Linked DNA regions of Oryzias latipes. The main gene of each other region encodes a partner of the protein of the gene in region 2 in a complex. Links are inferred from orthologs where the notes say so. Each region holds a gene or a part of one and is shown on either strand. Other genes may lie near its edges.

What was found.
Region 1: trappc8 (region 2) and trappc12 share a complex: the UniProt entries of both Homo sapiens proteins name them as parts of the multisubunit TRAPP (transport protein particle) complex. The link is inferred for Oryzias latipes from reciprocal best matches to the Homo sapiens genes TRAPPC8 and TRAPPC12.

Annotation. Positions count from the first base shown.
Region 1 is NC_019880.2:20,760,580-20,765,897, reverse strand, and holds part of trappc12 (trafficking protein particle complex subunit 12), read right to left. Parts: intron 3,016-5,318; coding exon 2,899-3,015; intron 1-2,898. UniProt on the Homo sapiens protein: Component of the TRAPP complex, which is involved in endoplasmic reticulum to Golgi apparatus trafficking at a very early stage.
Region 2 is NC_019862.2:1,523,521-1,528,838, reverse strand, and holds part of trappc8 (trafficking protein particle complex subunit 8), read right to left. Parts: intron 2,511-5,318; coding exon 2,357-2,510; intron 2,131-2,356; coding exon 2,061-2,130; intron 153-2,060; coding exon 1-152. UniProt on the Homo sapiens protein: Plays a role in endoplasmic reticulum to Golgi apparatus trafficking at a very early stage. Maintains together with TBC1D14 the cycling pool of ATG9 required for initiation of autophagy. Involved in collagen secretion.

The DNA of each region.
Region 1 (5,318 bases), on a different chromosome or scaffold from region 2:
GTTTGTTTTGTACACTACAACTGTTTCTAAGTTGGGTGTTAAATTGGAGAGTAATTTTAGGATGGACCAACAGATAAGCTCTGTAATGAAGTTAAGCTTTTTAAGCCTTCGTCAACTTGCTAAGGTAAAACCTTTTTTAACACCTGCACAATTTGAAACAGTAATCCATGCTTTCATCACGTCCCAGCTGGATTACTGCAACTCTATTTATCTTGGACCCAGCCAGTCGTCTCTTTTGCATCTCCAACGTGTTCAAAATGCAGCTGCTCGTCTTATGGTTGGAGCATGCAAGAGAGACCACATCACGCCGATCCTAGCATCGCTTCACTGGCTGCCTGTGCATTTTAGAATTCATTTTAAGATTCTTCTGCTTGTTTTTAAATCTTTACACGGTCTTGCCCCGCTGTACCTCTCTGAGCTTCTCACTCCCTTTTCGCCGGCACGGTGCCTCAGATCAGCTGATCAGATGCTTTTAGAGGTACCGAGGTCCAGACGGAAGCTCAGAGGGGACAGAGCTTTTGCTGTAGCCGCTCCAAAGCTGTGGAATACTTTGCCGCTGGCCATTAGAGAAGCCCCTTCACTGTCCATTTTTAAAACCCGTTTAAAAACCCATTTTTATGCCTTGGCTTTTAGCCCAATATGAGACCACTGTTTTTCTAACTGTTTACTGTTTTCTATAGTTTTATCTCCCTCTGTGTTTCCCCCCCCTTAACATGTTTTAATGTTTTTTACTATTGTGTTCAGCACTTTGTCTCAACTACTGTTGTATGAAAGTGCTATATAAATAAAGTTGAGTTGAGTTGAGTACACTGCCGAATATTTTCTTTGTGTGTGTTTATTTATATTGTTTGAAATAAATAAACAAGTGAATTTATAAAGTATTTTTACTGAATCACAAAGGAACATTTGGAAATTAAGGGGGTTGTGTGTGAGTCTGGGTTGGTCCCTAAAAGGGGCTCGAACCTGTATTACAAAAAGAAAAGAAAAAAAAAGGCTATTTTTTCCTATGACATCTAGGTGTGACAAATCAGTATCACAGGGGGAAGGAGAGCGCATAAATGTGCTTAAGTGCTTTATTTCATTATTTCTCAAAGACTGAAGGGATTCATATCGTTGTCAAAACTCACGGCAGAATCTGAACCAGTTCATGAATCAGTCACATGGTACAGTGGGCAGCAAGGCTTCAGAAATCATCAACATCATGAAACCCCCCCCTTTCCTCTCCCCTACTCGGCACATGCTGTGAAGCCTCGATACCAAATGTCATATCACTATATAAAATTGTTCTTTCTTACAGAACCTGTGTTCTGCATCCTGATTGGCTGTAGATTTTGTCAATCAATCTCATCCGTGCCGTGTCTTCTGGACTTCTTGAAGGTTAGAACTTTGAGAGAAAAGTGTGAAAATGTTCATGTCTGTCTGAGAAAAGAGGATAAAGTGTGTAGTGAGGAGTTTTACAGCCTTAAAATGTCTGTAATAATAGTAAAAAATTAAAGATGAAATATTTGCAGATATTGTCTATCATGGGTTATTTTTAGAACGCAACTCCTGCGCTAAATGAAGGACCACTGTGGATAATGATTATGCTTTTTTAACACTGAGATAAGGTTAGGGGTTATTGTTTAGGGGATACAATGGTTTTATTTAAATATCACAGTTTCTTCTCCTAACTCTCACTGACTTTGCATTAACATTTTGAAAGGCGCCTGAGGGATTCATGCCGCAGCGAAAAATCGCAGGACAATGTGAACCACTCCATGAATCAATCACATGGCTTTCGTAAAGCTTCAGACGCCATCATTTTTGGCGCCTCCCCTAAATTAAGCAAGCCTGGATACGTTGTAGGTCCCATAACCATTTGGCCTGCAATAACCGTTCGGGGTCCTTTGGACTAAGGATAACGTCACACTACGGTAGCCCCACTTGGAGAAACCACGTAGCGTGGAGATCTGCTCGGGTTCTACACGTTTTCATTTCACGTCACCATGTCTCTGATCAGAGCAGCTGGAGTCTCGTAGCTTCGTGTTCGCAGGCAGAGAAGGTGCTTTGTTATAGAGTGCGGTCCGGAGGAGGGTTCGGACTGCAGTCCGTTCGTCTGCACTTAATAATAATCGTAACAATAATAAAAGCACATTTAAAAGATAATCTCGCTCCATTTCGGAGCTCTGTTTGTTTACAACAGACTGCATAATATCTTCTTCTATGGTAGTATCGTAATTTGTCCAGTCCAATCACTATCTGACACGTCATCGGACCACCGGACAGCCAATCACATAATGTGACGTCTGCATTAGTCAAAAGACCCCGAACAGTTGTTGCAGGCCGAATGGTTGTGGTACCTACAGGCTTCGCAGAAACGATTCCACTACTCGACTCACGTAAAGTTAAAAAAAAAAAACTATAAAAAAAACAATTACTAACTGAGATTTTTTGCTACTTCTAAGAAAAACAAACACAAATTCAAGCTTTTTGTACCACAACTATAACAAAAATTGCACACAAAATTCTGGAGGGACTAGTACATCATGAATACGGAGTTTCTCTTTTGGAACATTTTTTGTTGCTGCTTTGAGTTTTGTCAAGGAAAAAGTCTACCTTGGCTCAAAAAAACACTGAAAAACATTGGTCTGAGCCTACACTAAAATTTGAGGCAAAGCTTTTTGACCAATGTGTTAATCCCCCTAAATGTTGGGGCAGTTTTTTTATTTTACAGTTTGATTAAATGCTAAGGTAACTTAAAACAATTATAAAAAGCAAACAGGCTCTTACGCAAACTAAGTGGAGTGTAACTGTATACAAAATATACATATCCTGTTTGAAAGAACCTTTTTTTCTCCAGCTATAGTTATTTTAAGAGTGAATATTGTAAGATCGGTAAAAAGCTAAAGGGAGCCTTACAACGAGCTGTTTGAGGCCATTGAAGGACTGCTCCACAGAGCTGGCGGTGAGGACCTGACGCTTCATTGCTGCTTGCTCGCCCACGAAACGAAGCATTAAGTCCTTCACAGCATCCACCTGAAACAAAACACATGGCTTCAAAAGCATTTTGAAGAAACACAAAATCGTTATTTCAAAGCAAGCAACTGCTGTTAACCAAAGTGACACATTTTACACAATAATTAAAGAAATTATATGGTGAAATGGAATAATGCCAACAAAATTCCACAGCAGACAAAAAATCCAGAGGAAATAAAAATCCCCAGAAAAGTGAGTAAATCTTAGCATAGATATCAAGACAGCTTTTTTCTTTTCCAGAATTTAGAGGAATAGAACATGGGAATGCTTGGTTTTTAAAAATAATAATAATACATTCTATATAAAGTGCCTTTCAGAACTCTCAAGGACACTGTACAAGTGAGTAAAACAAAACAAATAAATATTGAATAAAAAAAGGACTAAGAAAGAGGTGGGGATGTGAAATTCTGATGAGTTTGACCGTTTGAACAGATGGGTTTTGAGTTTTGATTGAAAAATGGAAAAACAGTCTGTTTCTGATTGCGGAGGTAGTGAATTCCAAAGTTTGGGGGCAAAACAGCCTAAAGCTCTGCCCCCCATGGTGCTGAGACAAGGGAGGGGGGCCGTCAGATGAAGAGAGTAAGACAATATGAGGATCTTGGACTACAGGGTGGTGTGGCAATGTGGATCAGGCTGGACAGGTGTGAAGGGGCGTGGTTGGCTTTAAAAGCATGCAGGAGGATTTGGACAAGGATTCTGGAGTGGACTGACAGCCAGTGCAGCTGCTGGAGTATATGGGTGGACAGGGGGGGTCCTAGTGATGATTCGGGCAGCTGAAGTTTGTGAAGGGTTTTTTGAGGGAGGCCACAGAGCAGGGAGTTACAAAAAGTCGATAAGGCTGGTGACGAGACTATGGACAAGGGTGGAGGCAGCATAAGATGGGAGAGAGGGACCAAGACGGTTGATGTTTCTGAGAAGATAATATGCAGTCCAGATGATGTTGTTGATGTGGGCGTGGAATGAGAGGGAGCTGGCCAAAATGACGTCAGGCTCTTCACTTGGGGGGGAGGAGGGGACTGATGACTTACTTATGGTGAGTGTGAAGCTGTTGACCTTGGAGAGGATGAATTTTGTGCAGACTAGAATAACCTTAGTTTTTATTACAATTGAGTTCAAGTGAATTGGAGGAGACCCAGGATTTCAGGATAAGAGGCACGTGGGGGTGGAGGGTGGAGTTTGGTGTGGTTTATAAATAGAGTCGAGTGTCGTCGGCATAGCAGTAGACTTAGATATTGAAATCACAGAAGATCCAAGAGGTAGGAGGCAGATTATGAAAATAAGGGGGCCAAGGACAGAGCCTTGGGGAATGCCAGAGGTTACAGGGGAGGGGTGGGACCGAGAAGAGGAAAGTTGTATAAACTACCAGCGAGGTAGGATTGAAACCAGTAATAGTTTCCGTCTCCGTAACAGGATGGAGTGGGAGATGGCATGAAATGCTGCGCTGAGGTCGAGAAGGATGAGAGAGTAATACAGAGTCCGCTGTGAGGAGGAGGTCGTTGGTGGTTTTGGTGAGTGCAGTCTTAGTACTGTGACTGGGACGGAATCCAGACTGAAACATCTCATAGAGTTATTAGTTAAATGTCAATGGAGTAGTTCGGTGACTACTTTATTATTATTATCAGTTTTTTCAGTAAGCATTCATCGCATCCTGATTTTACAATGAACACTTTCTGAGTCCGGATCTGTACATAGGAGCCCTTAAAGACTACCGGTACACAAGAAAGGAGAGAGCATCAACAGGGTTGTTGTTGTTGTGAGTTAGTAAGAAAGCTGAAAAACTTCAGAGGATCTTCAACGATGGATTCTATTTAGAATATTATGTTTGCTTTAGTAACTGTAATTCACAAACGACAGAACTTTAATAATAGTTTAAAACTGAACTGAAGTCACAGGCTGCATGTGGGATAGTGGTTAGCAGTGAGAAGGCAATGGTTCAAATCCCAGCTGGGACAGTTCTGTGTAGAGTTTGCATGTTCTCTACGTACATGCGTGGGTTTTCTCCAACAGTCCAAAAACGTACTCAATAGATTAATTGATCATTGAAATTGGTGTGAGTAAGAGGGTGTGTGTGTCTGTGTATGTGGTCGTGTTGCCCTGTGACAGACTGAAGACCAGTCCAGTGAACTGGACTTCGTCCAACAGTACCTGGGATAGGCTCCAGCAGCCCAGTGACCCTGAAAGAATTTTGTAATTTTGGAAAATAGATGGATGGAAAATTTTTTTAAACTCATTCAGCCCCGTCTGACTGCACAGTCTGCACATGAACAGGTGATAAAAAAGATCAGTAGCCACATGGTAGAGTG
Region 2 (5,318 bases):
AGTGAGGCATGATCCACGGCCCACTGCCACGGGCGCCACACCCTCCGTGTCTGTTCTCGCTTTCATCACGTCTGCATCGGTCAGACTTGTCGAACTGCTGTCTGCCTCAAGCTGCAGAGGATCGTTGTTCAGGCAGCCGGACTCGCCCCCCCCTTCAGAAACACACCAAAATGTTCTTACTCCACTATGACCATTTGTTAAAATATATACATTCACATGATAATAATGGATTAGATTTATCTGCGCTTTCCAGACGCAAAGCGCTTACAGTGTGTCCATCATTCATTCAGTCCTCCTTCATACTTAGTGATGGTAGCTACTGATGTAGCCAGACTGAAAAAGGCGTGGCTGCCAGTTCACGCCTACGGCCCCTCTGACCAGCACCAGGACATTCCTGCACATTCTTAGGGAAGCAGTACCCTTAAGGGTCTTGCCCAAGGGCCCTCACTGGTCGATGTTAATTGCTCACCATTAATATGGTAATTGCCCTATAACCATTGCTTGCTTGTTCATTGCCCCTGAGAATCGATCCCTGGATTCCTGTGTGCCACTCCTTCACCTTACAAACTGAGCTACGGAAGTTTAATTGATTCTAAGGTTTTTTAACCAAAATCCCACAACCTAAATGTCTTAAAGCCATACTTCATGATCATCTGAAGCATCTGTTTCCAAAATCTCCTCTACATGGGTGTGGCCATTGCTGCTGAGCTCCGCCCTCGATCCCCTCCTTTCTGCAAACTGTGTCTGGCATGAGTGAAGACTTTGACACCGGGGGGGGGGGGCACCAACGACACCGACTGACAGTCTCTATTCTCCAAAGCTTCTCCTTCGTGAATAGTGAAATTTTTGGTTCCAAATGGACACTTTTGAACAGAACGACAAAACGAATGTGTGAACCAGACATTTAATAAAATGACACCAAAAAGAACTTTGATAAACCTATGAAAAATGTTTTGAATGACAATAGAATTTAGGTTCCATTGCAGCAGCAACAGCACTGACTGTGGCTCAGGACCGATGTGATGCTAGCACATGCAGATCATCACATTTATTTGAGCAGCAAATAAAATGAAATGCCAGAAACAAAGTGACTATTCGCACCTGATTTTCCAAATACCTTTGTGCTTAGCGCTGAACCGGAGGAAGGGTTATGTTTAGGATTACGGGTTAGGGTTAAGCTGCGTTCACACCCAACGCGATTGGCGCAGCAGAGGCGGCCAGTTTCAGTGTTAGGTCAACGGTACGGACGCCATCTGAGCGATGGGGGCGGCACAAAGGTCTGGTAGCAGCGGGTTTGGTTCCCGTCTGAACAAAATCGCCCAACAGTAGCCGGGACGGGAACACCGATCCCGATCACTACGCCGGCTCCAGGGAGGCGACAGAGAGCCGCTGCAGGATGGGGAGCCAGCCTGCTCGGGTCTCCTGAACTTTAGGATATTTGTCTTATATTCATAAAAAAGATCCCCTGATTTTATTCTGGTTTTCATTTTTACCCTCTCTGGTTAATGCGGGACAGTAAGCCTTCAACCTCGGTCAGAGAGACACAAATGTGGAGAACACATTTGGAACTTGAACTTTCATTCTAAACACGTGCGTCAACAACAAAATCACACCTGAGTGTGTCCACACTGGATGGGCAGATCAGGAAGGTTGTGCAATATGCTCCTGGGCTGCTGTGACATCACATCTTTAACACAGTTTGATTGACAGCCATTTAAAAGGAGAAATACTCAAAAATGCAAAAATGAAATGTTTTTCTATCTGAACGCTTTCATAATGAAAATGCCACACGCAAAAGGCAAAACAATTAAAAAAAACAGGATTTTCATCAGAGGGGGACTTTAAATACACATTTGACTGACGTGTGTTTATACATGCACATATGGCTTTTGAGGCTAAAAACCACAAGTGTGCGCCCTCAGTCCACCGTGTGCTCATATGTGCACCACAGAAAATAGTGCATGAGAGCAGAGATAGAAACCAATCCCACAGGGATGTTTAGACAACTAAAATGAAATAATTCAGCTGATAAACACAATGCAACCCATCATTTGTCTCACTCGTTTGTGTGAAGGTCCCACCTTCTTCGTCACCCCCTTTCTCAGCAGCTGGAGCTCCATCAGCTGGGTCCTGAAACGCAGGAGGTGATGTTAACGCCTGGGCATGTCCATTGTTCTTCACTTTCAGATAAAAGGTAATTCAGCAGAAACGTTGACAGTCGTGAGGCTCTGCTCGGTCCCAGGTCCTCACGGTCGGCTGCATGTTGGACTGCAAGCATCGTTTAGGAACCAGACAGGCTCTGAATGCTGATCCTAGCTGAAGGTCTCAGTGAAAGCGAACCGATAACCAAGCTTACCTGGTAACGTAGGTTGTTCTTGTGCAGGTATTGACTCCAGGGATCTGGAATCTGTTCGTCCTCTTCAGCAGAGACGGCACGTGAGTTGATCTTAAGCAGGTAGCACCCTTGAGAGCCATACCTCTGCTTCATGTCCTCATAAACGGTCTCAGCCCTGAAATTAAGAACAAACCTGATCATTGTGAAGAACATGATCAGCCAGTGCTTTTTAACCTCAAAGGCAAGGCACCTTGAGACAGGAATATTATATTGGTGAGGGTCTGAGTCTGAGAGCTTCATTACTGAAACAGTGTGTGGGTTTCAGAGTGCAAAATGAAGTAAACAGCACTGGCATATGAAAACATTCAGATTTCTAAAAACAAAGGCTCCATGGCATCCTCTACCACACCTGCGTAAATGCAGGTGTGGTAGAGCTGCCCGATTTAAGGAAAACTCGCAATATTTGAAGTTTGATTCCCCATTTAAACAGGAGTTTGAAGAGAAACAGAATTTTAATTTCTATGTATGCAAAAACATTATAGAGATTGACAATAAAGTTTACTTTGACTTGACTAATAATGATCAATATTGTGATGACGATATAGCTAGCGATAAATGGACAAGTAGCAAAAACAACAAAAACGTTTCCATTTTACTGCAAAGTATAATTTAAATAAGGGTCAAAATACCTTAAATTATTCTCCAAATGAACTTCGTCTAATTAAGAGGGCAACATCTAACATAAAAGCTCCATCCGATTGGTCAACAACGTGAAAGGCTCAATCTGATTGGTTAAATGCATAAAGGGATTTATTCCACTCATTAAATAATTCAAGTTGCCATGGAGATGGTTTTAGCACAAGCGATAACGATACATTTGCGATTAATTGTGCAGGCCTAAGGTGTGGTGCTCTTCCCTAACCCCCCCCATTTATCACATGCACACATTCATAAGCAGCTTTGGTTCCTGAAACAGCAAACTAGGGGTTGACCCATAAACTGGCTGATATTTGGCATTTTGAGGAAACGCCGGTGTTGGGCATCCTCTATCACTAACTGTGGATCAAGAAGCAGTAAAGTGATCAATGACATCCTTATTAATGATCGTCTTTAAAAGAGAAGATGATGTTAAACATCACACAGCTATGGCCTCAATGACGCAGTTAGAAGAAAAGGTCCAGAGTAGGGGTCGACCGATGATCAGCCAGGCCGATTGGCGCTGGTTTTTGTTTTGTTGACGTATGTCGGCATCTAGCTTTTTTCAATCCAACAGGCTGATTTTGACGGGTTATTATGGCTCAGATGCAGCTCTCCGTCTCCAGCACCAAGGAACTCGCTGCACTTTAGTTTTGGTTTCATGTTTCCACAAAGAAAAGTCATTTAAATTAGGTTGAAGTTTGTATTTAACAAAGATGCTGCTGAGCCCGTTACTGCCTGCACCTATAGGAGCCATTTATTTACCTTTTTTATTCTTTTTTTTTTATAAATAAAGATAATTGTTGGTTATTGTATTATTCTAAATTTTTATGCTAATTTTTCCACTTTTACTGCAAACAAATATCAGCTCCAAATGTCGGTTATCGGCCTTCTTGACTACTAATGTCTGTATCGGCCCTGAAAAAACATATCTGTTGCTGTCTAGTCCTGATGACATCACAGCCAGGGGGGCAGAGCTCCTTCAGGCGGTAAAAGTCCTCAGCCTTCTGACACATTTCCATCAGAAACAATAAATCCAAGTCTTTGTTGATCAAGAGTTTATTCAGGAAGAGGGATTTATGGCAGATGGAGCGGATTGAACACAGCCCTCAAAGATCCACTGTATTACCAGCTGATGACATTTGGACTGACAGTAAACACCTGTTATGGTCATGTGATCATGCTGTCAGCCTCCGGATCCAAACAACGGTTGGTAGAAACTCTCATGAATGTACGCTTGAGGTGGAGGGAGGAAGTAGGGCTGCACAAAATGAGAACATCTTCTCACAAAAACACATCCACCTGTAAGGGCAGAGACTAATGCTTCACTGACGACTAGAGTACGGCGAAAGAGCATCTCAAGTACAATGTGTTTTCTGTTTTAGACGAGTCTCAAGGGAACTATAAGACACACCTATGCCCCCTTTAAGCTGAACCTTGAACCAGCCACTAGTCTCTATGACCCTCCATGGACCTGTTCAGGTGCATCATGGGACTATAGCTCAAAGTAGGATAAGCGGAATCACGTTCTTCATCCTGATGAGAGGGTTGTCAGAAATATTTTCTGCACAAAGGCAGTTTAGGATCACTCCTTAGTTTCTTATATCAATAATAACTTACTACTATGAGACAAACATTAAAATGTCAGTGTACAAATGTGTATCATCTCTGTGAAGTTGAGTAATAAGTAAAAACAAATGCTCTCTGATTCTGCAGTGGAAAACTTTACTGTGTTTCACAGTTCTACCGCGGAAAGAAAATGTGCAAACACATTGTTTTTTGTCATAGATGCACACATTCAGTTCAGTGTTAACACTTCAGTGCTATCGACCAGTTTTCAGCGCCGAAGGAAGATCCTTTTTCCACTGAGGAGGAAAAACCTCACTGCCGAGCGGTGGTCGCCGTGGATAACCAGTTTGTGGACGGACACCGAGGCTATGCTGATGGAGACCCACTTATCTAAATAGTCTGATCATCTCCTGTGCTGCTCACAATTTCCATTCATGTATTCTGCTAGTTACAACTCCAAACAAAGAGGAGTTGCTGTTTTAATCAATAAAAATATTACATCTACTCATAAGGATACAGTTACTGACCCAGAAGGCAGAAATGTAATTATTATCATATCAGTTTAGCACAATGACTTTTGCATAGCTAGTGTCTATGGCCCACATGTTGACGACTTTTCCTTCTTTCACAGATTTTTCACCTCACTCTCGGTTCACTCTGCCTCCACAATTCTTATAGGCGGAGACGTCAATCTGATTCTGGATCCTGAATTTGACAG